Linked DNA regions of Notamacropus eugenii. The protein of the gene in region 3 purifies or fractionates together with the protein of the main gene of each other region. This does not show direct contact. Links are inferred from orthologs where the notes say so. Each region holds a gene or a part of one and is shown on either strand. Other genes may lie near its edges.

Region 1 (10,580 bases), on a different chromosome or scaffold from region 3:
ATAAGCTAGGAGGCCTCTGTGACAGCTGCTCCAGTTGGACTCTCTCCTAGTAGCTGGAGGAAGCACCATCTTTCAGACCCTAAGGGAGCCAGACAATGCAATTAGCCCAGTAGAGCTGATGGAGGGAGAAAAGACAAGGCAACTAAACTCTGCAAAGACAAGGCAACTAAACTCCGCAGAGGTCCTGGGGCCCCAAGAGAGATGGATGAAAGACTAGGGTTCCCTTGGGAAAAGGAGATGCCCCTCCCTGTCTCTACTGGCCAGATTTTCCAGCAGGGTAGGGGCTAAGCCTTTCTGGCCTAAGCAGGTTATACCATGAAACAGCCTGGCCCAGGAGCAACTGTAATAGGAAGGAAGATAATGGCTGACACTTAATTGAGCAATGGATGATTTGGGAGGCACTTTACAAAATGGTTTCTCATTTAGTCTCAGAAGATCTCACCTTCAATCCTGACTGTTACTAATGAACTTTGTGACCTTTGAAATGTCATTTCTTCCTGTGGGTCTCAGTCTCCTCTTCTGTGAAATGGGGGGGTTGAGCCAGAAACCAAGCACTCTGCTAACTCTAATACCCTATTATGTAAAATTCTGCCTGGAGCACCTCAGGCAAGTCATGACATTTCCACAGGCCTTGGTTTTCCCATAAAAGTAGTAGACTGGGCAAGATCTGGGGTTCCTAGACTGGTGGGGGAGGGGGCTCACATGTTCATACTCATACTGACTCCACTCACTCTGGGCTTTATTTAGATCAAACAAAATGAAGTGTGGCTAATGAGTTTTGTGATGAAGCTTTTATATGAGAAACGTTCAACAGGAAAAAAGCAAAACTGTTTCTGTCCTTTCAGTCTGGGATCTAGAGTTGAAGCCTTCATTTCCACCAGACGTAGGATTTCTAAAAATCAGTGCCAGTAGCCTCTCAGCAGGTGATTTAGTCTTAACAAACAAGTGCACAGTATATTCTGAAGACTATTTAAAAAGGTCTTGAACCTGGGGATCCACGAAATAAAAATTCATTTAGAGGCACTACAGGGCCTATAGGATAACATTTCCTACAACTGTGAATTTTTTTATTTAAAAAAAATAACCCTCGTACTTGGCAACGTACATACTCTGCAACAGGGTACAATGAAATGATCTCTAAGCTCACTTCTAGCTCCAAGGCCTAACAGTGCCTGCAGCATAGGGCAGTGACCACCAGGTGGCACACCACGAGGCTAGAGAAGGAGCTGATTTGTCCTACTTGGCAGTGACCGCCAGGTGGCGAGGCTGGAGCCGGCAGCCCATGCCCACCAGCCCAAACCCCTTCCAAGGCAGCCGTTAACCTCAATAAGGGGTAAGGAGCAAACCCATGGATAATTCTCCTGTTTCTACTTTGATTCCCAAGTTAAATGTCAGTTTAAACTGAGTTTGCTCAGTCCATGGCCAAGAACATCAATCGATCAATTGATCTCTTTTTGAACTCTCCCTGAGAAGGGCCCCGTGCTGGATGCCTGACAGGACACAGAGGCATCTAGGACTGAAGTCCTGGCTTCAAGGAGCCTAGAAAGTCCACAAGAATGGCCTTAAAGGAAGAGTCCTGACTAACAGGAAGGCCTCAAAGCCTATGCCACCCTTCCCAGCTCAGAGTCCTACTTTCACATGCATGTCAGACAATCTCAGAGATGGAGGGAAATGCAGGTCTTCCAGTGTAACCTGAGCCTCTACCTGCATTCTCCTATAATGGAGACCCCGGTATCTCCAAGGCAGGCTCCTCTATTGGGGATGGATCAAACTGCTACAGAAAATTCTCCCTCCACAGAAAGCACAAATGCAGCTTTATGGGCTCATGAGTCAGAGGACTTGGGTGTGAATCCTGCCTAACAATTACTACCCATGTCACCTTGGCCAAGTCTTTGGGATGAACCACCTCCGTAAATGGAGCAACTGGCCCCAGAGGTTCCCTGAAGTCTGACCCTCATCCGACCCTTGATTTGACAGAGGTCTAAAGGGCCCCAAAAGTCACAGGAGCAGTTCAAAACCCCACAGAGAACCCTCCAGTGCTCTACCTCCCACACACTGTTGCATCATTTTATCAAGTCAAAATCTGCCTCTCTATCTCTTTTACTCTTCCTTCTGCCCTCTGAGCCCAGAGAAGCTGGCCCCTCCTCCCTATCGGTTCTTCAGATACCAGAGGACAGGCATCACATACCTCCCCCTACGCCAAGTTTTCCTTGCCCCTGTTCCTTCAACCAGACCGTCCTGCACCTGCTGAAGAAGCACTAGGATGTCAGATTCTTCCTAAAACGTAGCCTCAGCACAAAACCAACCCTGTAGATGGGACCAGGCCTGGGCAGAGGCTGCTCATCTGCTCCCCATCTGCTCCCCTGGGCTGACTGCTACGCCTCCCTCGATAGATCCTCAAATCCTCTGGGCTCTTCTGGCAGCCACATCATCACACTGTTAATGCTCATGAAATTACTAGCATTCCTGCCCCCCGATATTTTCAAGTGATGTGGTCTAGTCACACCCTTCTTGTCTGAACGTCCTCAGCTGACAATTTTGAACCCACACGGGGGGGTTAAAACTAATTTCTCTCCATCTGATCTTGTTAGACTCAGCCACATGTCTGTCGTCCCTCCCAGAACCACGTCACCTACACATCTGACAATCACACCTTCATCCAAACGGTTGACAGAAAGGCCAAACAGAACGTGCCCAAGAACAATGCCCAGGCACTTCCGTAACACCCAGAAAAGACAGTTCTTTTCTGTCTGAGGCTGTCAAAGCATTCAACATCAATAACTGATGATTTTGTCAGAGGCAATGACACAAAAAAACAGGCTTGGCATCTACTCTGCTGCTGCTGCCGCCGATGGGAAGCGTCCATCTGACAGGCAGCTGAAACCTTCCCTCCATGTTGTTTCCTCCACAAAGATGTGAACTCCTGGAGGGCACGGGGGACTATTCTGTGTCTCTGGTGCTTAGCAGTGATTTGTGCAAAGGAAGAGCTTAGGAAATGCCTCACTCACTGATTCGTTCATTCATTCCTACCACTTAGGTTCTGACAAAGACAGACTTCCCTTTGTTCCTCATTCTCATCTCGCCCCTGCCTTAGGAAGTACCTTCCTTCCAGGCCCCAATGAAACCTTCCAGGGGAAAGCCATCTCTTCCTCAACCAATTTATCCTCCTGGTTTTTCCTTGCATCTCTACTATGCACTAATATCATTTATACCAGTTCTCTGTGTACTTGTTTCACTTAGACCATAGGCTTTTTTCATTCATTAACCCTTCACTCAATAACCATTTGTTAAATGCCTAGTACATGGCCTCAAGGCTGCAGGCCTAGCAGGTGGAAGCACTATGCTGGGCACTAGAGACATGAAGGCACATGTCCCTGAATCAAAGACTCAGAGCTGGGAGGGGCCTTTCAGGTCACCTTGTCCAGTCTCATTTAACATATGAGGAAGCTGAGACCAGAGAAATGAAATGACTTACTTCAAGTCAAAGTGAGCCCTGGGCCTTTGACTTCTAGGTGACTTTGGCAGTTGGTGGTGCAGTGGACAGAACATAGGGCTGAGTACAACCTTAGACACTTACTAGCTGTGTGACCCTGGGCAAGTCACTTTCCTATCTGCCTCAGTTTTCTCATCTGTCAAATGAACTGGAGAAGGAAATGACAAACCGCTCCAGTACCTTTGCTAAGAAAACCCCAAATGGAGTCATGAAGAGTCAGACATGACTGAAACAACTAAACAACAACAAAACTTTGGACTTCAACTCTGTGTCAATTTCCTAAGATCTCCTTAGTGGAGAAAGTCCTCTGACAAAGGCAGATTGCAACCCATTAACAGCTCAGTTGTCATCGAGAGGACAGCATAGCTAGAAGCAACAGGGCTGGACAAGGGCCACGAGGGATGCATTTGAAGCCAAGGCTTCCTGACTCTCAAACTCATTTTAGCTCCTGTACTCTTAATGTCAGTTGAACTGAGATGTCAATGGGGTGGGAGTGGGGTGGGGGATGAGTAGGGAAAGGGGGATTTCTACTTACGCAATCTGCAGGGCCCGGGTGCCCAGGACCCGGGCTCGCTCGTACTTGGTCATGTAAGGGGTGGTGATCCTTTTCTGGTTTGCCTGCTGCCGTTCCCCAGAGGGAAGGATCTCCACATTCTCCTGGCCCTCCTAGGAAAAGAGGGAGAGGAGAGTGGGAAATTTCCTTGTGGGTGTAAAAGGTCAAAGGCTCAGACCTAGAGGCTCCTGGCAACTTCAACCAGAGATCATGGGGAAGTAAGACTTCGAATACCCCCAACAGAGGGCTCAGTCCATTTTCCAAGTGGAATAAACCACAGAGGTGACAAGTTTGGAGGAAGAAAAGCTTAAAAAGATTTTGGCTTCCAGACCAAAATTTTACTGAATGGCCACAAGACTGGTCAAATGGAAATGTACTTCTTGTCGTGAAACCCCCGGCCAGCTGCCACATCCCGAAACCAGGGAAGAGGCTGGTCTTCCAAAGTAACTCTGTCCTAGATCTGTCCCTTCCACGACGCTTCACCTGCAAGAAGGGACTGAGAGCCCCAGCAGCCAAGGACAAAGGATGGCATGAAAAGCCTGCAGCTGGCTTGTCTGCACACAGGGCTGCTGGTTTACAGTGGGGGGGGGGAGGCGGGGGGGGGGGGGGGGGGGCTGTTCCACTCTATGCTCAGTGACCTTTGTGGTTCCAGGGTTCCAGGTGAGAAGAAGAGCCATGAACTAGAACGATACTATGCTCTGCACCCAGGTGATTGGCACCCAGGTGACTGGCACCCAGCCCTGGCCTCAGTTGTGCTGTGGCAGTAAGAGCCATGGGAGAAGTACAGACCTCCTCAGGATTCTCCAAGTCATCTAGACCCTCATCTTCCTCCACGTCATCAAAGTCATCACCATCGTAACTGTACAGGAAGAAAGCACCAGTGAACCTGGGTGCTCGGAGAGGGCCAAATACCCTCCCCCATCTCCCCCAATTCTAGCCTGGATCTGCTGGGGCAGTGGAAAAGAAGGCTGCATTTGGAGGTGGAGAAGCTCCCACTGTAAAAAGAGGGAGCTGGATGAAGTGACCGCCCCCTCCCCCCCCCCCCCCCCCCCCCGGGCCTTATCTGTCCCCATGTGGCTTCAGGATCCTCAAGGTGCTAGACTCATACCCCAAGTGCACATCACTATCCTCCAGTACCTGCCAGGGTGTGTGCGCCAGGCACCTAAGAAGACAGAGACAGAGACCAGACGGTCCTTGCCCTCATTCTACAAGAGGAGACAAAAGAGGCCTCACACCAGAAGCCACGGAGTCCAACATCGGAGGGGCACAGGCCAGTGCTAATGCGGGTGGGGGGGCGGGGGGAGACCTGCCCAAGATCATCTAGGGGTCAGGATCCGGGACAAGACGCGAAGCCAGGCTTTTCTGACCCTAGGCCATAATGCCTCTGTGATTGCACCTCTTTTCATCCTACCTTCCAATGCTGAGCCCCCATTTCTCAGTCTCCCTTCCATCCCCCTCCTTCCATCCCCCTCCCCTCCCCCCATCCTCGGGCCGCTCTATCTGCCCCTTCTCCGCACTCACTTGTCCTCGTTGTCAGACATGCCTGCGGAGCCTTGGGCTCGGGCCCAGTGGCCGCCTTGGCCAGGAAGAGCTGTCTCCCAGCAGAACCTTCTTCACGGAACCCGACGAGCCCAAGCCACCCGGTCTGGCCTCCTGCACTGCTCGGGCTCGCGCCACTGAGACCAAACTCACGACTTCCAGCACCCACTTCCGGACCGGCCCTACCAGAATTCCCTGCGCCTGCGCGGTGACCTTAGCATATGAGCAAGTTCCGGTAATAGGCCAAGGGGCGGAACCTCGAGCTCTTGGGGCGAAGAAGGGCAGAGAGAGGGCAGGGGGTGGAGCCTGACGCCAAAAAGGGGCGTGGGCCTGCCGTTGTCATGGCAAAGAGGAGCCGGATAGCCCCGAGCAGGGCGCGCGGCGGTTCCCCCGGTAGCCAGAGGCGGAGACGGAAGCAGAGTGGGGAGCTCTTGGGAAGAGGAGACCGAGACCGATCCGGTGCAGTGACATAGCCGAACCAGGAGGGGAGGGAGAGCCAGAACAGAGGACCTGGAGGCGGGGCCTAGAGGAGCCGGAGGCGGATACGGAAGCGCTGGGGGAAGGGGCGGGGCTTGAGGGGAGATGGCTAGGCCATGCATAGGAGATGCCAGGGGCGGGGCCCAGAATGTTCGTGAAGGGGCGGAGCCTGAAGCGAGGGAGGGGAGCCTAGAGCCTGGGCGGTTGCCATGGCAGCGTAGGCGGGACCAGGGGCCCGGGAAGCTCGGACCGGGCTGAGGGCGGGGCCTTCGCAGCCGTTGCCATGGTAGCCGGAGGCGGCCGCTGCTCGGAGCCCCATGGACCCGTTGGGGAGAGCGGAGCGGTCCGGAGCCCGTCCCTGGGGGAGAGGGGAAGCCCAGGGCGGGTGGCCGCGGGGGGCTTGTCACGTGGCACCTCCCCGACAAGGGCGGCCTGTCGCGATCGTCCCAGCACCACAGGGGGCGAGTTCCGCCCTTTGTGTCGCCGAGGGCCGGCCGCAGCGATCGCCTCTCCTCGTCGCCGCCGGTGCAGCCTGAGCCCCCCGCTCGGGCGTCCCCGGAGGGCAGGAGATGATTCCCATCAGGCCTGGCCTGGGTAGAGCTGAGGCTGGACTGCTCGGGGTCAGAAGAAGCCCAGAGTTGCAAGGACCTCCTGACCACCGAGGCCACCCCCCGGCCCCCCTCTAGGAATCCCCCATCCCTGTGTCCTGCTCAGGACGATTTCTGCCCTAGGAAGTAGCGAGCTCCCTGTCCCTGGAGGTCTTCAAGAAGTCCACGTTTGGGGGAGACTTCTTCCCATTCTAGACCAATGACACCATGGTCTCCTCCCACCCGATCCTCCAGCCTTCTATTTCCAGCGAGAGGGAACCCTTCTCCTTTTTGAATAGCTCTAATTGTTAGACGTCAAGCCTAAATCTGCACCCATGACTCCTGTTTGTCAGACTGCCCTCCGAGGCTGAGCAGAACCACACATCCGTCCGTAGAATGACCCTGCTAATGGCATTGCCCTCTCCCAAGACCTGCTTCCACCCATCACCAGACCTGAAATCTCTTCACTGCTCAATGGCTCATTTTAAACAAGTCATCCTTCTCCCCAAGCCTGTTTCTTAGAAGAGATCCCCTTCAGCTCTCAACATTCTGGGAAGGCTAGTCCTAAAAACCTTTCTTTTCCACCTGTAGGGTTTTGCCATGGCAGCAAAGGGGAAATCAGGAGCTGTGGCCAAAGGTACTGGCTTCTGGCACTCACGGCAATCCAGCTACACCCCAGAAACCTGTCAGCTGCTGAAAGGTCAGTGGAGGGACAGCCCTGAAGGAAGGGCTGATCAGGACAGGGCCCCAGGAGGGCTAGAAGCCCAGTGGCTCTTATATCACCTGCTTGTTTTGCAGTGATGATGGAGGAGTCCAAACTCACCAGCTTCCAGCAGCGACAGCTCATGGATTCGATGAAAAGTAATTTGAAGCCTTGATCCTCCTCCTGCCCTTTCAACACTCTCCTCACGCCTTAACTAGAATGGCACAGTAATGGCTGTATAGCTGATTAGGCACTTCTCCCATAGTGTCTAGAGATTCCTTTGGGATGTAATGTGTCATCTGTGTATGGCTCATTTTCCATATCTATAAACTAGTCTTGGTCTTTTGGGGAGGATGGTGCAGATTCCATCTTCCTTCCATGAAAATCACTGGCCTAGTTGAACTGAGACATTTGGGAGAGCAATCTTGAGGGTGCTCACTTCTGTTGGCCTTAACTTTTTCAGTAAAATGGGAGATGGGTCCTCTGTTGAATGTTGCAGGAGGGTTAACTTGAAAAGGGAGAGAAGATGGGACTGGACCTCAGAAGTCATCCAACTCTGGAATTCTGTGGGACACATTCCATTCCAAGACAGTTCTCCACAATCTGGCCTGAACCTGACTGTCCAAACTTTTTTCCCACTGCCCCCCTCTGGGGAATTCTCCTCCACAGCCAAATAGGCTCCCCTTACATTCCATGGACATTCCTCTTCACCTCCCAAGTCTTTGTACCACTTCCCTTATCCAATTTAAGACTATCCATATCCCACCTTTTCAGTAAAATTTTTCCAGCCTAGGCTGTAGCCTTGGTCTCTCTTCTTCCTCTTTACCAATTGGTACCAATTACCTGGACCATTCCTAAGGCCCTAGCCTTACAGGGACTGGACCTGTAATTTCTTTGATAGACTTCTCAGGTGAGGACACTCCCTCTACTTCCTCTGCAACCTTAGGGAGCTGTTGAAATCACAGAGAGGGTCACCCAGTCAGGATGTCAGTTGTTACTATCCCAAACTACCCCACTAGGCCTTGCTTCCTGTCCTGTGCCACTACCAGGATTACAGATGTAGAGTTGGGACCTCTGGGAGCATCCATTCCAGCCCCAGTAAGAAGCCAGGATCTGAGTTGGGGTCCTCTGTCTCCAAAGTTGCTACTTCTGACATCCTTCCTTACCAGACTTTGATGGCCAGGCTCCTTCATGGTCTTGTCATGATAGATGTCTGTCTTTGGTATCTGTGAATCCCCCCCTTCCCTCTGCTCAAGCTCAGTGACACTGGGTCCCTGATTCTTCCAGCCCACAGTTATGGAGGGCATGCTCAAAGAAGCTCCCAACCTAGGTGCTAGAAGCAGGATATAAAGACGTCTACATAGCTCTGCCCTCTGGGAGCTTCCAAACTAGTAGAGGGACACAGTTAAACAGGATGGACATCAGTTTAAATGCATTAAGGAGTTGCATAGTTTAATGAACTCTACAAGGCAGAAGGGTGTTACTTCCAGGGACTCCCTGCAAAAGCCCATGACTTGGGTCTTGGAGCTGCCTGCTAGCTGGAGGCTCTGGGGAATAGCAAAGGCCCCGGGGCAGGGGGCATTCTTGCATATCTTTCCATCTGGATGCTCTCCCTTCCTAAACCCTTAGTAGAGATCATTCCTTGGGCTCCCTGGCCCTTCCTCCACATCCTCCTCCTGCCCCCAGCCTCATCTCCTCTGCTGACCTGGACAGGACTTTACACTGGTGCATATCTGCCACTGGAAGTCAATCATCTCTGTTGAACAGATAGGGAAACTGAGGCTCAGGGGAGTAGGCTAGGAAGTGGCTGGCCATAGGCAGGACTCCTGGTACCTGGGTCTTGGACTTCTTTCTGTTCTGGTCTCTCCCCAGGAGGCGAAGCGCTGCCCTCTTACTGCAACCCAGTATCTAGCCAGAAGCCAATGCCCAAACGAATCAACAGCCTGTGTCTGCCTCCCATCTTGGCCCCAAGGCCCCATCTCCGCCCTGCTGAAGTCTGCCAGGCCACTGAGGCCTACACCCGAGACCAGTTCAAGCCAAGACCTTGTCGTAAGTCTTGAAGCCCTGGGCTTCAGAATAAGGAGATGAGGCACTGCCAACCTCTGCCCTAGCCATGGGCACAATTGAGGACAGATACTGAGACAGGGCAATTTCCTTGAGTTTGCAAGATTCTCCTTAAAATGAACCAGAGAACTGGGCAAGATCTCCCATTCCAACATGTGCAGCAAATGCCTTTTGGAATGAGTGACGCAGGAGGGGAAAGGGGAAAACAAAATCCACAAAACTTATGTGTCCCAAGGAGATTTATTGGGATACAGTGGTAAGATGAGCAGGGCCTGAAGGTGAGGCCAGAGCAACTCTCCTCCCTCCTCACCTCACCTCAGCAAGGCAGAGGCTGTCAGTCATCCTTCCTTCCTCCCTCCCTGAGCCTTGTTCTGAGAGTGGGTCTCCCATGTGAAGCTCTGCTCCTGTCTACATCACCAAAGCATCACCTGGCTCTTTGGCACCACTCACTGCCCTATCTGTGCCTCCCCCCTTCTTCCAGAGAGAAAGATGCCCCAAGGGAGCCTGGGTACGGATGCCCATTTAGTCCAAGGATGTGTGCTATTCTCCCATCCATCTCTCACACTTGGATCCTGCAGGAGATATAGAGAAGGAGAAGGAGCGGCTCCAAAACATATTTGCCAATGGGAAAGAAGGCATTGAGAAAAAGAAAAAGAAGCCATCTGTTCGGCAGGCTGAGCTTCTGCCCTCAGACCCGGAGCCAGATAGATTTGAAGAATGTAAGGCACTATGAGTATGCCTGGGGCCCACGAGGGTATTCCAACCTTGCTCCTGGGCCACCTCAAGCAAGGCACAGCCCATCTCTGTCACACAAGTGGCTTCCAAGGTCCCTTCCTGCTCTGAGCCTTGGCACCTTTGGCCAACTGTGATATCACAGGCCAGGGCAGGGGAGAGAAGGGATTCTCGGGCCTGGGGAGAATCCAGCCTTTCCTATTTCAGGCAGGAGGGATGAACAGGATTGGAGAGTTTCCTGTGTGTGAATGAGTTTTCTCTCCTCTTCAGTGGTGAAGGAAGTCCATGAGAGGCAGGAGTTCCTGGCTGAGATGGAGGCCCTCGGGCGGGGCAAGCAGTACAGAGGAATCATCCTTACTGAGATCTCACAGGTAGGACCCGCTCTGGATCCCACGACCTGCTCGCACCCCTCTTCCCTGACCCCACTTTGTG
Region 2 (10,580 bases), about 2.5 Mb from region 3:
CTTCATTCTGCTCAGTTTTTTTATGGGTCTTTGGATGTTCATCTGGTATATGTGGGGTGTTCACCTCAAGGAATGGGCTCTGGGAAATTCTGTGAAGCTATGGGAGTGTAGATAGGGACACTATCATCAAGAAATGTTCAATAAGTTGCCCCTAAGCCCTACAATTACCGAAGGAACAACTGCTGGGAAATTTCCCTTTGCCTAAGAGAGGTTTAGGAGACAAAGTCTCAGTCTGATCTACAAGATATTAACAGGAGTCCATTAAAAGCTCTAATGTAATCAGAACTCAAGGACTGAAAAGAGGGAGTTGTGTTGGAAAATGTGAGCTCTGTCTTCAGCACTCATTGCATGAGCTGTGTGGTGAACCACAAACAGAGAAAGTTTCCTGTCTATCACAAACCACCATTGAGCTTTGCTGTTCTATTCCTGTTATAAACTCTCCATCACCATCCTACCAAGTCTCTCTTCTCCACCCTTTCCCTACAGCCAGGGCAGGGAAGGGAGGGGTTATGCTGGAATGAAGTGCTCACTCTCTCCCACTCCCTTCCCTAGTCCTAGAACAATAGTCAAACTGTGGGTCTGAGGCAAAGGAAAAATGCACCCTGCCAGACAGCAGGACATTGTTGGAAGTGCCTGTGGCAGTCATTCTAATGCTCCCACTGCTGCTGCCCCAGCCTCTCATCTTGGATCTTCTCCAAGGACTATCAATAGGCTTTGTGTTTCAGCCCACCCTGGTGGTGTCCTGGGTGGATAATAATAGGCTGTAGGTTCCTGGCCTTAATAGAGCAGCCAAATCCTATAAACAAAAGTCTTCAGTAGCAAACTGCTATCTGATCTGTGAAGCTAGTTCCTACTATATCCTATCGCCACGGTTGTGAAGCAGTTCTGTGGGCATCTACGGGTCAATGGTTTAAGTCCTCATGCTGGTTCTTGGTTGCCACACCTCATCCTTTCAAGATGACATTAAGGGCTCTCATCTCCTCTTGGCTCAGGGGCTTCAAGTTAAATCCTTTCAACTCTGGTTTACCTAGAGGGAGAATCAAGTCAATGGGTCAGAGAAATATAAGAATGATGTGGAGGAGGTACAGGCTGGTCCCATCACATTCTAGCTGAGAGAGCTTCCTTGGCTTCTACACACTACCATGGGAAGGACTAATAGGATCATAAGAAAAGCTAAGCAAAAACAGTTTTGTGCTAACTAAGCAACAATGATTCCCTCACTTCTCTTGGGTTTGGAAAGACTCTTGAGGGTTCCGAGAGTTTTATTTCCCCATTTATCTCAGGGGCTTTCCTGCCCACTGATATACTTCAATTGCTGCCATGGAAGAGGAATCAGTTTTGGTTTCACCCAAAATCATAAAGATCTCCCATGGGTGATACCTGCCTTTCCCCTCTCTTAGACTCAATTTTTGTCATGAGCTAATTCAATGCGACCAAAGTGAGTAATAACAAATTGGAAAGCACAGGTGAGGAAACTTTCAATGGGTCTAGATTACTGTTGTAGATAAAGAGTTCAGAATGGCCCAGGCCCTTGGCACATGCCAGTCCACTGTGCCCCTCTTCTTCACTCTTTGGATGCCTACATTTACTTGTTTTACCCCAGCCTCTGAGATCCATGCTAACCTGGGACTCAGGTTTTGGCTTTTCTCACTTTTCAGTCCCCACGAATGAACCTACCTTGGGCTTCCAAGAGACGGCTGACCTTCCTTTTCAACTGTTTCCGGAGTTTCTCTATCTCCTCATCCAGGTGCTCCTGATCTGAAAACAAACAAAAAAAAACAACAGCAGCTAACATTTTTCAGACCATTTTGCGGTTTTGAAAGCACTTTCTTTCCAAATCCTATGAAGTGGGTAGTGCAAGTAGCATTATTTTTATTTCATAAAGGAAGAAACTGAAGCTAGGAGAGCAAATGACTTCTCCACAGTCACAGAGCTACTGGCAACGTCAAGACTCATTCCAGGTGTCCTGGCAAGCCATGCGTTCTCTCCACACAATACCACCACACTGCCTGTCAACAGAAGGATCTGGAGGAGTGGGAATGAGAGTTCTATTATGCTCTACCAAGGTCCCAAAGAATAGCAGAAAAAAGGCAGTTGTGTTTAGGGTGGGAGAGGCAGCCTAATGTTGAAACCAGGCTGATGAAGCTTACTGTTGTCTGAGAGGAAGAGGAGGGGTTAGTTGAGGCTAAGAATGTGTGAACCATAATGCAAGCTGGGCTGAAAGGAGGAAGTCATAGACTTATTAAACAAAGCCTGCATACAAACTGCTAGGTGACCACAGGTAAGTGACTTTCCTTGAAGACTCCACCTTTGAAAAACAAATGAGTTGGACTAGACAGTCTCTAAAATTGCTTGCAATCTGACATTTCTATGATTCTTATAACCTGATGTCAAGAGCTTCCCATTAACAAAGAATTATAGAACACGTCTAGGTACTACATACCATCTAGCCAAAGAAACTGACTGTCCAAAGAGAATGCCTCGCTGGAAATGTTTAATTGTCTAATGAGTGGCACAGATTAATGACTCAGCAAATGGAAGGATGCAGGAGTCAGGACTCAAGTTCAACCTTTAAGAATGTATATAATTTATGAAGACCAATGAGATGAGGAAGATGCTTGTAAGCAAAGGTAACAGCAAGATCAAACACACAGAAATGAGAAAGCATGGAGTGGCGTGCCAGACGGAAAGTGAAGAGATGGTCTGGCTAGAATAAAGAGGTAGTATACAGTAAGAGAGGCTTGGTCAGACTGTGGAATTTCTTTTCTGGGGCAGGATACCAAGAACTGTCAATTACTTTGTTTTCAAATCATACCATTCTACTCTGATTAATTTTGATTCCACAGGGATCAGACATTTGGGGCTGGAGGGGACATCAGAGGCCACCTAGTCCATCTTGAAAAGGGGGAAATTTAGTCCCAGCAAAGTTGTGTCTTGCCCAAGATCACACAGACGACAACGTCTTTTTACAAATTCAGGCAGAAGTAGGACTTGAACCCAGATTCTGACCGCCCAGCCAGTGCTCCTTCCATTGTACCAGGATGGTGGGATGTTCAATTCCTTCTTCCCCAGTGAAGGATATAGATCCTGGTTTTGTCTTTCAGCACTGATGCCCCACAACCCCTTTCCCTCCAAAAAAACTGACCCCAAGAAGAAGGTTTTAGGGGCTGACTTTTTAAAAAAAAAATTGTAATCACTGTGTTTATCATTTTACTATTTCTGCTTACTCCACTCTGCATCAATTCAAATGTTATGTTCCCTTTCTCTGAATTCCTCATACTTGTTTCTTACAACCATTCCTTAATCAGCACATACTCACTGTTTCAAGTTTTTTGCTACTATAAAAAGTGTAGCTGTGAATAATTTGGGATATATGTGTATATATATGTATATATGTATATATATATACACACATCTATGCATATTTATGTGTATACACAAGCATGCACACACACACACACATACACCCCGCCTTTCTGTCTTTGACTTCTTTGAGGTATATGCCCCAAAGTTAAAACTCCAGGTCAAAGACTATCAAACTTTTGAAACTCAGACTTTGTGATCAATTTGAATTAAAACCTGAGCCTAAATGCTATGTAAAATTTGATTTAGGAGGTGAAGCTGGTGTTCACAGTACAGTTTTCGGGCTCCTTACCTTTCTCAATCATATCCTTTGTCCGTGGTCGAGGAAGTTTGATGAACATGTTTCCAAAGCAAACCATCACTTTATCTGAAACAGTAAATAGTGCATGGTCAGCTTGATAAATCAGCAAGTATTTACTAAGCGCCTACTATGTGCCAGGCACTGTGGGACACAAATACTAAAAATGAAACAATTCCTACTCTTGAAACGCTTACATTCTAATGGAGGAAACCACAGGTATATATGTGGCATATCAAGAGATACAAATACATTTAAAGTAGTTTGGGAGGGAGGACGCTAGAAGCTGTTGGGGGATGTGGAGAATCAAAAAAGGCTCTTACAAAGATAAGGAGACAAGCCAGAATAAGGGCACTAGTCGTACCCCTCACTGAGGCCAGTATCTTTGGGGCTAATGCCAAATTTAGCTAGTGATACTCAAGGACTCTTGAAGCAGAGTTTTTAGTGGATTTGGAAGTCAGAAAGACAGGGCCTCACATCCTTCCTCATCCTTACTGTCTGACCCTGCTCAGTCCCAATTTCCTCATCTATAAAACAGGGATACTAGTATTTATCTCACAAGGTTATTGTAAGAATTGGATAAGATAACATGTAGGGCACTTCACAAATCCTCAAGCGCTATATGTCCACTATTACGAGTATTCTCTGTAAGACTTCATGTATCCATAATTCCCTAAGGAAGGTGCTAGAATTTAAGACCTAGTTTGGCCAAAAAGAAAGAAAGAAAGAAAATGGAGATCTCTAACCACTTCTGTACACTCATGTTTTTAAAAAATAAAATACCGAAAAAAGCCCCACAACCCTATCTTACTATACAGGAAAGTAATGTCAAACAAACAAAAAAAAAGGAATTTATATCCATGTCCCCAAAGGCATTTACTGTATATAGTGTTCTGGACCCAATATGTAAGTGATGTGAATTCTGGATGTAAATATTCCATCTGATTTGGTTTTCTTCGTCTTTCCCTCCCCTCTTGGCTCTACTGCTGTGATGTAGAATAAAAGACGTTTAACTGATACTGACCCTAAAAGAAAAAAGTCACAGTAAATCCAGTCTTGCTGACACTCAACATTCCTAAAAGTTAGAGAACACCAGTTCCACCGAAGCTGCCGTTTCCAAGCACAGTCTTCTAGGGCGCAGGGTCAGTGCTCGGAACCCAAAGCTGGGCCAGAGGCCGAATGTTCCCCACAAGCGGCGCAGGGGAGGAAGCACCCCAGCATGGGCAGGCGGCTCTACGTGGACTCCAGGGTCACCCCTGGAAGGGCGTGCAGAGGCCGGGGAGTGACCCGCATGACCCCAGACCCCGCTCGCCCCCAACTCACCCGACTGGCTGGGGTCTCTCTGAAGGGCCCTCAGGGCTTCCCGGTTCTGGTTCCTTTTCAAGTCCAGGTCCACTATCTAGGAGAAAGCCAGACGTCAGGGTGGGGCCGAGAGGGGGGAGGGGATCAGAGGCGCAATCTTGGCCCGTTCCTCCCCCCCATCCTCCGCCCCCGGGCCTCAGTTTCCTTCTTTGTGCAAGGACCAGGCTCAAAGTCGGGGAAAGGAAAAAATGGAGGAGTACGGAGAGCAGGAATCTGAGAGCGCGTTCTCCTCGCTCCTGGGCCCTTGGCGAACCTGCTGCTTGTCGGCCAGCACCTCCTCAGCCAGCTCCTCTACCTCCCCCAGGTAGAGCAACACACGTTCGGCTTCCGCCCCCAACATGACTCCGGCAATGGTGCGGTTCGGCAGTCTCCCTGTGCGCATGCGCCAGCCACGCAGGCACGCTACGTAGTCGCACGCGGCCGCCGGCGCGCGCGGGGCACGTAGGTCAGGACGCACGCCCGGGGGCGGGGCGGGGGAAATGAAGGGGAGGACGGCCTCTGGGGCCACGTGACGACGCCTTCTGGGCCCGCGGGAGTTGGGCGGGGACGCACGTGTGCTGGTACTTTGGCGCCTCCGTCCGGTGGAGCTCAGGCTTTGCTCTGGAAGTCCTCAAGTCCGAAAGTGACAGCTGCGAGAAGGGTCACCTTCTCCCGCACGCCCAGGACTCGGGGCGAGTCCTACGGTGGGGAGAGTGGAGTGAATCTCACACCGTGTCCTCCCCTCCCCCCGCCCTTTCCTCCTCCTCTTCATCATGGGTCCTGCTCGGTGGAGCTTGGGGCAGGTGCATGGTGCAGGTGTGGACGGACTTTCCAGAAGCCTAGGTCAGGCTCTCCCTGCTTAGGTCCACAGCTATGGCCCTGACCTAGAAGGGAAGAGCTACCTGTGGACTGGAGGAGTCAAAAGAACGTTTTCAGGAAGAAGCTAGATGATGATCATTACAGGATCTATATGACCCTGGAAAAGTTCCTTCTCTGTAAAATGACGTGATTCAGATTCAAAAATTTTAACTAAACACACTTTATTATGTTATAAAAAAACTCTAGCTTTCACTGCTTTAGGAATTTTCTGGTGCAAATAATTTGGTATGTTGAAAGAAAAGGAATTGCTCTAAGAACAATAATATTTTTATCAGGGAGGCAAAATTACAGTCTTTGACCTTCAACATATATTATTCTTATCCTCAGCAGATGTAACAAGGGGGTCCTCTCTAAAACTTGGGTTTTCTGGCCCTAAACTAGGACTAATAAGTATATATAAGTTTGAAAGAGACAGATTTGGGCTTCATCCCTAGTGGTGGTATGGGCTTGGTGTACACTTGGTGCTGCAGAAGGAATATTATTCCACAGCCCCTTTTTCTACTCTCTGAAAACTTCAGAAAAACAGGCTATCAATGAATTCATTTGCTAATTAATTAGCCTTGGCAGCTAGGTGGTGCAGTGGATGGAGTCCTGGGTCTAGAATTAGGAAGACTCATCTTCATGAGTTCAAATCTGACCTCAGACACTTCCTAGCTACATGACCCTGGGCAAGTCATTTAACCCTATTTGTCTCAGTTTCTTCATCTGTAAAATAAGCTGGAGAAGGAAATGGCAAACCAACCATTTTCTTTACCAAGAAAGCCCCAACTGGGGTCATGAAGAGTCAGATGTGACTGAAAAACAATTGAATAACAATAAAATTAATTAACCTACAAGGGAATATGGCCACAGGTGGCTCAACTCTGGGTCTACCAGCCAAGTTACTCTGTATTCATGCACCACCTTCCCAAAAGGCTCCCTCCACCCTCCAGGCTATTCAGCCTATAAACTCATAACACTGAGCCTCATGGAGCTATGCCATTTCATGATACCTTGAATTTATCATTGAACTTCATATGGCTCAAGGTGTATAATATAGAATATATTTCAGCATTACTAAACTAGAAAATCAGTCATCTATCCTTTAAAACCTTCAGCCCACATTTGAAAATTTTACTTTTCACCAATTGTCTTCATTTATAAGACTTAGATGATTGAGTTTCTAGTGATTACATGATTTATTAAAACAACTTTATGTAAAGGTTACTACCTTCAGATCTTTGCCATGATCACCACAGGTCTTTAGGATCAATCTCATTTCTTTTGTTAACACACACACAAAAAAAAAGGTTTAGGGATAGGGCTGAGCAATCCTACACACACACTTTATCCTGCTTTCTCATAACTTGTGCAGTTTCATTCAGAGGGGCAGCTAGGTGGTGCAGTGGATAGAGCACACCAGTGCAGGAGTCAGGAGGACCTGTGTTCAAATCTCACCTCAGACACTTGACACTCACTAGCTGTGTGACCTTGAGCAAGTCACTTACCCCCAATTGCCTCATCCTGGGTCATCTCCAGTCATCCTGATGAATATCTGGTCACTGGATTCAGATGGCTCTGGAGGAGAAGTGAGGCTGGTGACCTGCACAGCCCTCCCTCACTCAAAACAAAGTCAAGTGCAAGTCATGTCATTATTTCTCTGATGGCATGGTCTTCTTCGGCAAGGAAGGACAAACACACGCAGTTTCGTTCTGGTCCCAAACCAAGATTGTCATTATAAATATTTAAGTACGTTTAAGCAAAAACTTTCTAACAATTTCAAGTACTAGTTGGCTTAGATGGCCTTTGTGGCTCTGTCCAACACCAAGATTCTTAAATTCTGTGTAGCCCCTTCTCTGGGAGCTAATCCTCATCCTGAAGGTTGCAGATTAGACCCCAGAGTAGGAGAGGGACTGGATGCTCCCAGGTTTCAAGGATATCCTATGAGTCTACAATCCTAAAACTTTAGTTCACAAACCGCCAGGCATCCTCTTAACAATTAACTCAAAGCAAAAAACACTTACAGAAGATGGCATAGTAAAAACAGTAGGTTCAAAACATTCCTTCCATAAGCCTGGAATATGCATTCCCACAAATACACACAGTGGGAAGAGTGAGTACAAACTTATGAATATAATGGCAGTGAGTCCCACACGTAGGAAACACAGGAAAACAAGGCAACTCCCACGGCTATTACTGTAGGACCTTGATTTCCTTTCTCTCCTTGTGCTGTTCCTCTTAGCAGTATCTCTGCTGGACAGGTCACCTAGATGTGCTCCCAGGGTCTGTTTTTCTCACCAGCTTGATTCTTGATTGCCAGGCTAGTCCATAGCCAGGTTTTTTTCTTTGCTCCCAGAGGTTCTGCCCACAACTTACTTCTGACATAAGTTCCTCAACTAGACTCCTTCCCTGAGTCTGTGTTTTTCTGAAGACTGTGTGTCTCTCATGTGTGTCCCTGTTAGATGCATTTCAACTATATCTTGAACTCTCACATTAACTCTGAAACTGTTTTTAAGGGTGATCCAGGACAGGACCAATCTCTTGCCCACATAACGTCCAAATTCTAATTCAATCAAGGACATTTTTCACACTTTATAAAAGGGCCTTCTCCTTTTTTTGGGAGATTCTTACTTTCTTATATTTTGGAGGTGTACTGGTCAACAACCAGTTTCAACTCTCAGCCCTTCCCCTATCTATAAATCCAAATTTTTTCTACTGAAAATCCTGCTTATACATATCACACATATCCCATCTGTTGTCAAGCCTTGTCCCTTTCTCTCCACTCACACAGCTGCCAGCTTGGTACAGACCCTCATCACCTTATGACTAGACTAATGCAATCAACTTTTCATCATTCTCCCTGCCTCAAATCTATCCTCCACTCAGTGGCCAAATCATTTTCCTAAAGTACAGGTTGATCTTGGCTCTCTATTACCTTCAGGATCCAATAAAAAATGCTTTATGACCTTCCCCCCTTACCTTTCAATCTTCTTAAACTTTATTCCCCTTTCTGTATTCTACAACCCAGCCACAATTATCTATTTGCTCATCTTCATAGGGGATTCTCCATTTTCTGATTCTGATTCTTTCCCCATGTCTGGAATACTCTTCCTTCCTTACTTCTCCTAGATTCTCTGGCCTCCTTCAAGACTCAGCTTATATCCCACCTTCTACTTTCGCTGTCTGTCTCCCCCTGCCCCTCATTTTGTTAGTGCCTGGCCTCCGAGATGGCCTTCCACTTACACTGTATGTATCTTATACGTACATAGTTAATTGCATGCTCTCTCCCCCATTAGCATGTGAGCTCCTTGAGGCCAGGGACCATGTTTTTTTTTTCTTTCTTTGTATTCCCAGTGCTTAGCATAGTGCCTGACACATAACTGGTACTTAACAAATGCTTGTTGACAAAGTGACTACGACCACATGGTGTCAGATTGGGTGAAGAGGGATGAGGAGAGATGATAGTTTGTGGAGTAATTTAGAGGTCCCTCATCTCTAGAATGAGTGAATTAGAGTAAGGTACAAGGGATTTTAGAGTTCTGAATTCTACCCTCTTTCCCCCCACTTCAGAAATTGATCGGACATATTAGACTAATTTGTAAACTCAGAGCTGTCTTTGACTCTTCCATCTTTCTTGCCTTTCTCCCATACCCAGTTAAATTGTCAAAGGGTTTTTGGAGACTATCTAGCCTAAACCCTATACAGATGAAGAAGTTGAGGCTTAAAGGGATATAGTGATTTTTCCAAAATCACACAGAACCCAGGTACAAGGCCAGTGTGTACCACTACATCATGCATTTAGAACTTGGTAGTATTGTAAAAGTGGCTGATTGGAATTGTGTGTGTGTGTGTGTGTGTGTGTGTGTGTGCATGTGTGTGTATTTTCTTTGTATATGTAACATGAAAATATATACATCAACAACATGCTTGTTGTTCAGTCATTTTCAGTTGTGTATGACTTCATGATCCCATTTGGGGTTTTCTTGGCAAAGACACTGGAGTGGTTTGCCATTTCCTTCTCCAGCTTATTTTACAGATGAGGAAACTGAGGCAAACAGGGTTAAGTGTCCAGGGTCACACAGCTAGTAAGTGTCTGAGGCTAGATTTAAATTCAGGTCTTTCTGACTCCAGACCTGGCACTCTAACCATTGCACCACCTATTAAAGAAAATGCACATATGTAAATAGATAGTTGTATAGATATGTATATGTATATTTTTGTCCCAATGATTCCTTTTTCATCACTGGTCTTAAATTCTCAAGATTGATCCAGTTTCTCCTCTTTTAATTTTTTTGTCCTAGTGACTCCTTGTCCACCTTAAATTCTTAAGACAGACAATTGCCCTGCTTCCCCATTGTTTGACATAAAGCTAAAAGCTCATAGATTAAGCTCCTCCCTCTCATCTTGGACCTGGGCAGATCATAGGACCATAGCTACAGAAGTGGCAAGAACCTCAGAGGCCATCAAACTCAATTCCCTCAGTTTATAGAAGAGGAAATTGAGTCTTGGAGAGATTAATTTGCAACAAGATCACATAGATGTTTGCTGTCTTTTCAGATGTAAGCACAAGGACTGCTACTTTTGTTCTAGAAGAGAAAAACTACTTAGACAGATATAACATTATATATATAAAAAATTATATATGTGTATATATATATACACACATATACATCTACACATATATATATACATACACATATACCTGTGTGTATGTATATAT
Region 3 (10,580 bases):
GCAAGTCTTCTGACAAGGTGACCTTTTAATCACAATCTGAACTTGATTATGGGCGTGTCCAAATCAACTATTAGTTTACAAAAAAGAGCACTGAATACAAAGGTAGCTTTTGAAAAAAGGCAGAAAGAAAGGGGGAGTAAGATACTGTTAGGATTCACTTTCTCACAAAGCTTATGGACAACTTTAATCCAGTACCCATGGTCTTTCCGATGACTATAAAGTTATTTTTTGATATATTCCAGCTCACCTTCCTAACTTTCCCCTTTTTGCCTGTTGTTAGTGCTCTTCCCCCCCTCAAATTATCTTGCAGTCGTTATCTGGTTACGTGCTACATTTGGCCCCTTTTAGAAGGTACGGTGGGTTAGTTTTGGCCTTTGTATCCTCAACATCTAGCATAGTTTCCAGGTGCTAAATGTCTGCATTTCTGAGTGGAATTTCTAGTCATAAGAGTTAGGTAGATCAAATTTTAATTCCCAAAATTTCTCTCTAAAAAAAAGCTACTTTCCATTTTTTAATCGTAGTCATTCTGAGCAGTTCTTACAGGCAAATGCTCTAAGGATTACCTCTACCTTCTTAAAGTATATTATGTAGGTTTTGAAGGTGAGGCACCATCAACTTCTAAAGCAATCTTCCTTATTTTAAGACTTCCTATACCATTCCAAGTATTATATTCTAGTCATTTATTCAAGAATGAACTTAGATTGGAAAGACCCAGTTAGTTTTTAATCACATAAAAGCCAATAAAAGCTTCAGTTTTTTTTAGTGTCATCAGTTTATAATTTAGCTTTTCTATGCAAAAGAGGGAAAAATATTTTGATAATATACTCAAATATTTTTCTATTTCCTTTTTGTTTTTTCAAAATTATACCTCATTCCTTTTTTCTGATTTTATTCTTCTGACAAAAGAGAAGAGATTTCATTTTTGGGTTTTTTTGTTTCAATGTCAAGTAATGTTTCACTAAAGAATGACCAGATTCTCTTTTCTCCTGTTTCTCTCTATGGAAAACAATTTATAGCTAAATGTTTAATTAAAAGATATATAGTGATGTTTCCTAAACATGTTTCAAGCCAAAATATTGACATAAGCAGTGTTTCTCCTTCTAAAATTTTAGCTATGAAAATATTTATTAAAATGCTTAATATATGTGTCAATTTCTCAAGATGAAAATTTTCATTCAGTTCCAAATTTCCTGGCTCCCCTTTATTTCTGGTATATTCCATAACTATAGACTAGCATTTATAGATTCAATCAAATTATTCCTAGATACAAAGTATCTTATGGTATTTTTACCTCCAGAATCAAATATAAAGTCTTTTGTTGACATTTAAAGCTCTTCATAGCCTGGACCCTTTCTACCTTTTTTTCAGCCTTTTTATTTTACTATCTTCCATGCACTCTGAGGTCCAGAGGTATCAGCCTCTTTGTTCCTACATGATTCTCTATCTCCCATTTTCTACCTAGAATGTTCTTTCTCAAGTCTACCTCTTAAAGATTCCCAGGCTTTCTTCAAAATACAGTTCAAAAACCACTATCTGCAGGAGGTCTAATTCCCTCCCCCCAGCTGCTGGAACCTTCTCTCTGTAAGTTTACTTTTCATCTATTCTACATGTATTTTATATGTAGGTATTTTTAATATATTGTTCCCCATTAGAATATAATTTTTTTTCCTTTCTTTGTAACTCCACTGCTTGGCAAACTTCCTGGTATATAGTAAGAACTTAATAAACACTTGTCAGTTTCTTGTGACAAACTTTTTTTAATCACATTTAAAATCATTCAGGCTGTCATTTACATCACTACATGGAACCTACTATGGTAGGTCTTCAGCAAAAACAAATAGGAAAGGTTTAGCAAGACACTAGAGAGCCAATATAGATTTTGCACATTAGTAATTATTGCTTTTGCTATTATGAAAACAAGTCTTATCTTTAGTTGAAAGAAAAACAGAGGGAAAACTTTGTTTCCTGGAAACAGAGCATGTAGGCAAAAATGGAGATACAATTTATTTCTTTTTATTAGGGCACCATCACCTAAAATTCCTCTTAATATAAAGACTGATATAAGTCAAAGGACTATCACTTTGGGTTCTTATCTTTAAGAGACAGGAAGTTTGTTCAGTCACTTTTAAGAAAATTTAAACTAAATATGCTATTTACCATATTATTGATCACAAGCTAAAAAGACAACTCAATAAAATCCAAGTGAAATATGACTCTGAGAAAAGTATTAGGATAAGTTGTTACATAATTGGGGTAAAGAGTATCCTTAGTAAGAGTATCCCTTATGTGTTATGAATTGAACTCTCATAATGTAACAAAATGTTTATATAGTTGTGAGAGCTTTTAAGGATTTAGCTTGAGGGAAGACCATTAATTTGGCCTCTTTAGCAAAATATCCTGAGAAAAGTATTTAATTTTCAAGTGGTAGAAGGTTTCATACAAAGTAAGAAAAGAATTAAAGAAAAAAGCCGACAACATACCTGGCAACATGGGAAAAAGCATCCACGAGGACAGATTCAAATTCCCTAGTGAATTCAGGCCCCTTCCTCTTACTGTTTTGGATGACATCATTTGCTAAGTATAAAAACGTAAGCTTTCTATTTGATTTGGCTGAAAGAAGAAAAGAAAATACTTTAACTGACATTCTAACTATGGTACTTATCATTTCATGGTCAGTTTCTTGCCAAAGTCTACTTACTATATAACAGATTACAAACACATCTTTGTTAGAGGTCAAGGACTATGTATTTAACAAACTCCATGGAATATAGCAAAAAATGCACTTACGACCTTAATATTTTTACCAAAACTGGCCTAAAACTAATATAAAAAGAAATAACTGTCAATTTCTTCATGAAATAAATTCATCTGTCAAATACACAAAGTTAAAAATACTATCTTAAGAAAATGAAAAGTTAAGAATTCAAAATCCAATAGCATATGGCAAGACAAAACATTTAATTCTGTGAATATACTGCAAGAATGAACATTTCTATCTGTTGTTGTTAATTACTGTATGTTCCCGGAAGAAAGAAACTAAATCGGAACCTGTTCTTACTTAAAAATCATTCTTTGTTATCCATGAACCAACAGCTAAGTTTTTTTTCCTAAACATTTTTAGCCATCAGTCCTTCAAGGTAGCTGATTCTGTAATCCAAGAGAAACCTCTAAGTGATATATTCTTTATTTCAAATGCAAAAATATACTAATGCTATGTTACTAGATTATTACTTAAAATTTACACACATGAAGTCAGGAAAATAAAAATTATGACTCCCACAAAACCCTTGATTTTTTTTTTATACATAGTAGATTTAGTATTTCTTATTACTCTATATGGTGTCATATATTAAACCATAAAAACTTCATGCAGTATGTCTGAGTTACAGTTGCTTTGGGGAACATTACTGAATTTCCTGGTTTCCATGCACATAACTTCCCAACCATAAAGTTGTATCACCAATTTCTGGTGAAGGTTTTTTTTTTTAAAGGAATAAATAAAAGTATAATCAGATATCTGAACACACTAAGTTTTCTTCAATGCCAAAGTATTTGAACTCAAATGTATTATATTTCAACCTTTACCCACCTTACAAACTAGTCTTTGCTCCATTTTTCTTCCCCTTTTGAAAGGCACATAGCATGTATCACTCAACAGTTATTAGGTAACAGTTTCAAATGTAGCTATTTAGAATAATTGAAGTTTAAATTTGGGGCTTTTAAATAACATAATAGTTTAAACATTTCCCCAACTGCTCATATAAATATATCTGCCCTCAATTCCAAAACTATCGAGTAACAAGTCAGAACAACAAATAAGCAATTTAATACTCTAAAGGTACTTTAACAGTTTTAATAACTGGTCAAAAACAAAAGTGGATTCAATAATTTCTCCTATATCTCATTACTGGGAGAAAGGTATAAATACCATAGAAGCTATTTCTTTTCATATATCTGTTCTGGAAAGCTGGAAAAATCTGTAAATGCCAACTCTGCATTGATATCAATCAATAATGAATTAAAAAATAACAAGATAGCCAATTCTCCTTAAATAAAGGTTTATATATTTCATATCCTTATGTTCAAAAACCCAGAATCCAAATAACAAGAAAACAATTTGGACACTGCAGAACAGCACCATGGCAAAGTGGAACGGGTTGCATTTGGAATAAGATCTGGGTTCAAATTTCAATTCTGTCATGTACTGCCTTTGCAATCTTGGACAAGTCATTCAACCTCTCTGGACCTCCTTTGCAAAATCAGGGTGTTATGAGCAAGTGAACACTGAGTTCCCTTCAAGTTCTAACCCATGAATTGAAACTTTTCCAGCACTTGAAATTATGAGTTACGTAAGAAGACTATGGATAAGAAATTAAAGAGTTTAACTGCTAACAATGACAATAACTTTCATAATCCTTCTAGCCAAGCTATTACGATGTGTTTAGGATGAAACTCTCTTCCCTTCCTCAGGAAACATTCTGTGCCCCTAGCAAGGAGTCATCTGTATAAAGAGAAGTCTTGTCAGAGGAAAATATAGACCTTGGGAATTACTGGAACAGCAGGCGATTTTTTAAAAGCCCCAGATATACAGACAGCACACTACAAAGCTCTTATCCATTGTGACATTAAAAATTAAAGCTCTCTTCAAAAGGCAAAGGTTGATCATTTAAGACCATTCTCTTCCTCTCTCTTCCACCCTTTAACCCCACTCTCCCAATCAGTTCATTTGATTGTTGGACACAGACAAAAACTTACTGACTTTCTTTTGAGGTCCTGAGAACAACCTTTAAGTTACCCACTTTATAGGCAATACCATATTTCCTTTTTAAAGAAATTGTTTCTTCAAAAGCAGTTTAGGCAAACTACAGTATAGAGATGACTTCATAAGCCAAAAAAAAAAAAATGAGGTTGAAAGAGAAAAATAGGAGTGTGCACTAGGTAAACAGAAATATTTCTGGCAATGAAAATGCACTAATTTTGGCCAAGGTAATTTTAAGTACTTCAGAGGTATTTTACAAGGAAACAAATTTGAAGACCTCTGAAACATACACTTCTAGCTAATAAAAGGTGGAGAAGAACACGGAGAAGCAGCATCAAAAGCTATCACAGAACTCCTACTGATGGTTCAAATTTTGGGGAAGGCACAGTAACTTATACATAGCAGTAGCTATAAAATTTTTGCTGATGTGAACTAGCTCAACTCTAACCAAAAAGTCTGAGGCACCAAAGACTTAACTTTAGCTACTTCCAGTAGTACCTCAAGGAGAACATATGCCCGTAGGCTCCTTCCTCAACCCAGCAAAAAGATCCTGGATATTCAAAGAGTAGAGAAAGAAAAACAGGGCAGATAGATCAGAATGAGATTCCTCCCTCCCAAAGGAGGCATTTGAGCTTCTTCAGCAACCTTGCAGTGGTAACTCGGTGACCTGCCCAAAGGAAAAACTTGCAGAAAGAGGAGGACTTGAAAGAAAAAAGGACATGGAAGCAGTCGTGGGGAGGAGTGCCTGGGTGAAGTGTTGGGGACTCAGGTGGGGAGGGCTGTGTGGAGTGGTGAATGACCGAGGCGGTTGTGGAGGTGGGCTGGATGCTAAATAGTCATCAGGAGTGTGCACGGAGAGTGGGGAGCTAGTCTGGAAGGTTGGGATGGAAAAACAGAGGTAGCGGTGGCCTGGAGAGAGATGGGTAGGGACCTGGTGGTTTGGGGGCTGGTCAGGAGGGATGCACGGAGAGCCGGGAGCTATTCAGACGAGGGGAGGGTAAAGTGGGGGAACATGGAGAGCTAGGGGCCTGACACAAACACACAGAGAGGGATGCATGGAGGACTGGGGAGCTGGACAGACAGAAAAGGAAGGGCCTTTAGGGTTACAGTACTCGGCACAGAAAAGGTGTTCGATCCATCATCTGTCCAGACAGAAGCAGAGCGGGGAGGGGGGCTGAGGACGGAGGTAGGAGAGGTCTGCGAGCTCCTCCAGCATGAGGGCTCCCTTTTACCTTTCTGGGACTCCTGAGCGCTAGGGCAGGGGCAGGCACAGACCTGTGGCTTACATGTTGGGCTGACAAGTCGGGGAGGGGCGGACAGAAGCACATGGCGGAATGGGGAACTGGACAGAGAGAAGGGGGGTGCGCTGAAAGGTTACCCCTACCCCTTAACGCAGTGCCTGAGCCATAGGAGGTTTGAAATGCCTGCTCCCAGCTCCTACGGAGATGGGGGAGGCGGGGGTCAGGGAAGATGAGATTGGAGGATGGGAGAACCGCACGGACAGACGTGTTTGGGGGTAAGCACTGCGCCTGACACAATCGGCGCTTAATACACGGGTTCGGATCGCGGCGGGGGTGGCAGGGGGCGGGACAGAAGCACACGGGGTGCTGCGGGGCTCGATACACAGCCCGGGAGGCGGGGGCCGGGGAGCCCCGGCGGGATACGCACCTTTGCGGAGCTCGCGGTGCCACACTGAGACGATGGGCCCCGCGTGTTTGCGGTGGTGGATCAGCCACAGAGACAACGTCTGGACGCTCTGCTGGGAGTTACTCAGCTCGGAGAGTTTCTTTTCGAGCGCGGACTCGGAGAAAGAGGACATGGTGGCGGGAGGGAAGGAGGACTGGAGGGCTTCCGGGCGGCGTGGAGCGGGAGGCGGCAGCCGATGGACACGAGGCCCGGGACGATACCTAGTCCGAGACCGAGCAGCAGACTGACTTGTCACGCCAGGCCAAGAGCCTGAGGGGCCGAGGCCTGAGGGGCGGCCGAGTCTCCTCGGTAACAGCCGCCTCCGCCGCCGCCACAAGATGGCCACCTGACCTCTCACCCCACCGCGAGGGAGGGCAAAGGGCAAGGGCCGACGCGGAAGCAAGAGGGAAGCAGGGCGGGGGCGGGCGGACGACCGCTGAGCTTTACCTTCGGTAGACTCTCATATACCCTCCCAGAAGGCAGCCCAAAAGAGAAGATAGAGAAGGAGGTAGCAGGGGGAAGTTTAGGCCGGGCCCCCTGCGGAGTTCCCGGAAGGGGCGGGTACCGCTTTCTCGGCGCGCGAACTCACTGAGTCTAACTTGGTCCTTTTTTCCCGGCGTCCCGGGACCTTTCTCGTGCTTCGGCGCGCCGGCGTAAACGTCACTTCCGGGAAGGAGCGCGAGTGGTGGGAAAGGCTAGAAGAGAAGCAGGTAAGGGAAAGTGTGCGGAGCGGAGGAAGGAGTTTTCTCTCCGAAAGGAGAAGGAGGGCCCGATGAAGTGGAGAAAAAGAGGCTAGAAGGCCCGGAAGGGGAGGCCTAGGATAGAGATGTTTATTCTTCTGCCCGGCCCTATGCTCTGGGAATCCCGAGACCTGGATCCCAGCCCCCAACTCTTGCATGTGTAGGGAGCCGGCGCTCGTCTTAGCCTCGCTCAGCTGGGGTAAAGGGGGTGCGAATGTGAGCGGTTCCCTAATCTCCGCCTAGCCTGAAGGAAGGTAGTAATCCTTTGTTCGGAACCTTTCTTTGGGGTATTTCTCTCCTTAGAGTGTTTTACAAACGACCGCTTGTCTTCCGGGCCTACTTCTCTGTTTAAGTAGCTGAGGATGGGACTCGGAAGCAGTAAACATTTATTAAGCTCCGATACCAAAGGAGGCGAAAGACAGAAAGCTGCCTGCCCTTGAGGATTTTACTTCTAAGAAGAGCCACAACTTAGAAGTGAAATATATAAGATGGGAAACAGTAATACTTGCACTGCGCTTCTATAAGGAAAGTAAATCTTAGTCATAAGAGTTTTGCAAGTAGGTTTGCAAAGCGCTTTGCAAGTATCTTATTTGGTCCTCACCAGCCCCCTGGGAGGTAGGTGCTACTATTATCATCCCCATTTTCAGAGGCTGAGGTTAAGTGACCTGCCCAGGGTCACACAGTTAGTGAGTGTCTGAGGCTGGATTTGAACTCAGGTCATTCCTACTCCAGGCCCAGAACTCTAACCGCTGCGGCCCTGAGCGGCACCACATGCCATAATTAAAATGTATTATCCTCATTCCCATACCTTCTCTGCCACCTCAAATCTTCCAGTAATATCCCTTTCACTGTCGTCATAACTGACAATTATATAGCAATTCATAGTTTACAAAACACTTTACTCACAGCAGCTTTATTTTTTTTGTTTGTTTGATCCTCCAAACATCCCAGTTAGGAAGGTTGTGCAGGTATTATTTTTCCCCAATTTACAGATAGGGAAGCTGAGGCTCAGAAAAGGAAAACAACTTAACCCTGAGTCACACAGCTGAAAAGATAAAGAGCCCAGGTGTTTGTTATACTCTAAACACAGCCTTCTTTTCCAGGTAGCACACTTGTTTGCATCCTACCCTGCCCCACTCAGCATTAACCACTTGCACCTTCCCCCTCCTCTATCAGACAGATTGGTCTCCCTACCTAGAGCAGAGTCATTCCCATTTCTGTACCTTTGTTCATATGCTAGTGCTCCCACGGCAACACTATAGGTCTAGAGAGTTTTGTTTTTGTTGAGAGTGCTATACACTCTCAAAAGAATACTGGATTAAGAGGCAGAGGATTGTGGTTTTGAATCTTTGCCACTTTATATATTTGGTTTATTTGTTTAGTACTTTTTCAGTTGAGTTTTACTGTTCAGTGAGCTTACTTGGGGTTTTCTTGGTAAAGATCCTGGAGTGGTTTGTCATTTCCTTCTCCATCTCATTTTACAGATGAGGAAACAGGCAAACCAGGTTCAGTGACTTGCCCATGATCACACAACTAGTGAGTGTCTAAGGCTGGATTTGAACTTAGGAAGAGGAGTCTATCCATTCTATCCACTGTGCCATCTATCTACTCTGCCACTTATATTAACCATTTCATTTAATCTCTTTAGTTGTCTTTTTTTCTCATTCATAAAATTAAGAAATCTTGTGATTGCTGAATATCTGAGTTCTCTCTTTTCTAACTTTGGGGTCCATCTCAAATCTTACCTTTTCCATGAATCTTTTTCCTGTGGCTCTGACTTAGGGCAATATGAGTCTTCTAGCTCCATCACCCCACCAGAGCACTTTAATTTAGTTTTCAGATCAAACTTATCTAATCTATTTCTCAAATCTATTTCTCCTTTTAAATATATGACACTGTTTTGTTATATAGATGAAAGAGCTGTCATTTGTGCACTTAGGGGATGCTCACCAAATTAGTATTATTTTTGGCGCCAAAGACTTTCGTGAGCCATTTCAGTTCACCAAACATATATCACTGATTACATTTTACATGGCTTTGTTTCTTGTACATAGTTTGGGCCATGAATATGTCAGTGCTTAATTTAAGTCTGTTCAGAGATGATCAATGATGATCTTCATGGCCAAATCTAGTGTCCTTTTCTCAGTTCCCATCCTTCTTAATCTCTCTGCAACTTTAACATTATTGATCCTTCACTTCTCTTGAATACTTTCTCCTCTCTAGGTTTTCCCTCCTGTTCTTCTTACCTACCTTACCTCTTTTTCAACCTGCATCATTGATTGTTCATAGAGGTCATACCATCTAATTCTTAGTGTTTTCCAATACTGTTCTGGAGCCTCTTCTCCCAGTACATCTCACTTGGTGATCTCATAAGCTTTTCTCTATGTAGATGATTCTTAAATGCAGATCGTCTTCTGAACTCATCTTGCATCACTAACCCCCTCTTCAATATCTTGAGCTGGATGTTCTGTAGACATCCCAGATTCATTATGTCTACCTCCTCAAACCCTAACCTCCTTCCTCCCAGTGACCTAGGCTCACAGCCTCTGTGTCATCCTCAAGTCCTTTTTCACCTTTCTTCCACAGACCCAATCTATTGCCAAGTCTTATTATTTCTACCTTCACAGCGTCTCTCTTTTATGCCCTCTTTCCTCCATTCCCACGGCTAATACCCTGGAGAAGGCTGCCATCACCTGTTGCAATAGCCCTCTGGTTGGTCTTCCTGCCTCAAATCTCTCCCCACTCCAGTCTGTCCTCCGCTCATCTACCAAAATGGTCATCCTAAAGGGCAGTCCTGACCGTGTCACCTCTTTCCTCTAAATTCTAGTGGCTCCCTCTTATTTCCAAGATCAAATATAACATCCTCTTTTTGACTTTTAAAGCCCTTCACAATTTGACTCCTTCCTGCCTTTCCAGTCTTCTTACTCTTTACTCTCCTCCAGTACTCTATAATACTAGACACTAGTCTTATTGCTGTTCCATTCCCAGGACACACCATCTTCAGACTTTCTGCCTTTTCATTGTCTGGCTCCATCCCTAGAATGCTTTCCCCTCACCACCTCAATTTCTTCAAGACTCAGCTCAAATCCTTCTTTAAGACCTAACTCTCCCTTCTTTTGGCCTATTCTGCCTCCCAGGTTCCCATTTTCTCTCCCCCCTCCACATTACTAGTACCTTCCCTTTGGGATTACCTCCCATTTAAACAGTTTTTCCCCTTTTCTTCGTATCCCCAGTTCTTAGCACATAGGGAGCACTTAATAAATGCTGGTTGATTGAAATTAACAAGCATTCACTCAGTGCCTATTACCTACAAGGTAAAGGGATAAAAAGACACAAACGAAAGAGCAATTGACCTCAAGGATTGGGGAATGGAATTATAATGTATACAGGTGTAA

The links.
Region 1: the proteins of RPRD1B (region 3) and POLR2F purify together in Homo sapiens (affinity purification with mass spectrometry; 4 studies listed by BioGRID and IntAct, counting the BioPlex papers as one, with this or other methods). This does not show direct contact. The link is inferred for Notamacropus eugenii from reciprocal best matches to the Homo sapiens genes RPRD1B and POLR2F.
Region 2: the proteins of RPRD1B (region 3) and PDRG1 purify together in Homo sapiens (affinity purification with mass spectrometry; 3 studies listed by BioGRID and IntAct, with this or other methods). This does not show direct contact. The link is inferred for Notamacropus eugenii from reciprocal best matches to the Homo sapiens genes RPRD1B and PDRG1.

The regions. Positions count from the first base shown.
Region 1 is NC_092874.1:295,434,253-295,444,832, reverse strand, and holds the start of POLR2F (DNA-directed RNA polymerases I, II, and III subunit RPABC2), read right to left. Parts: upstream 5,931-10,580; 5' UTR 5,588-5,930; coding exon 5,568-5,587; intron 4,906-5,567; coding exon 4,836-4,905; intron 4,160-4,835; coding exon 4,029-4,159; intron 1-4,028. Other genes in the region: C3H22orf23 (UPF0193 protein EVG1), read left to right, coding at 6,346-6,405, 7,241-7,349, 7,448-7,510, 9,225-9,401, 9,995-10,135, 10,419-10,580. UniProt on the Homo sapiens protein: DNA-dependent RNA polymerase catalyzes the transcription of DNA into RNA using the four ribonucleoside triphosphates as substrates.
Region 2 is NC_092872.1:431,256,570-431,267,149, reverse strand, and holds the start of PDRG1 (p53 and DNA damage-regulated protein 1), read right to left. Parts: upstream 5,541-10,580; 5' UTR 5,406-5,540; coding exon 5,277-5,405; intron 5,061-5,276; coding exon 4,985-5,060; intron 3,731-4,984; coding exon 3,656-3,730; intron 1,759-3,655; coding exon 1,678-1,758; intron 1,028-1,677; coding exon 945-1,027; 3' UTR 1-944. UniProt on the Homo sapiens protein: May play a role in chaperone-mediated protein folding.
Region 3 is NC_092872.1:428,752,361-428,762,940, reverse strand, and holds the start of RPRD1B (regulation of nuclear pre-mRNA domain-containing protein 1B), read right to left. Parts: upstream 7,015-10,580; 5' UTR 6,579-7,014; coding exon 6,428-6,578; intron 6,276-6,427; exon of another isoform or gene 6,234-6,275; intron 2,611-6,233; coding exon 2,481-2,610; intron 1-2,480. UniProt on the Homo sapiens protein: Interacts with phosphorylated C-terminal heptapeptide repeat domain (CTD) of the largest RNA polymerase II subunit POLR2A, and participates in dephosphorylation of the CTD by RPAP2. Transcriptional regulator which enhances expression of CCND1.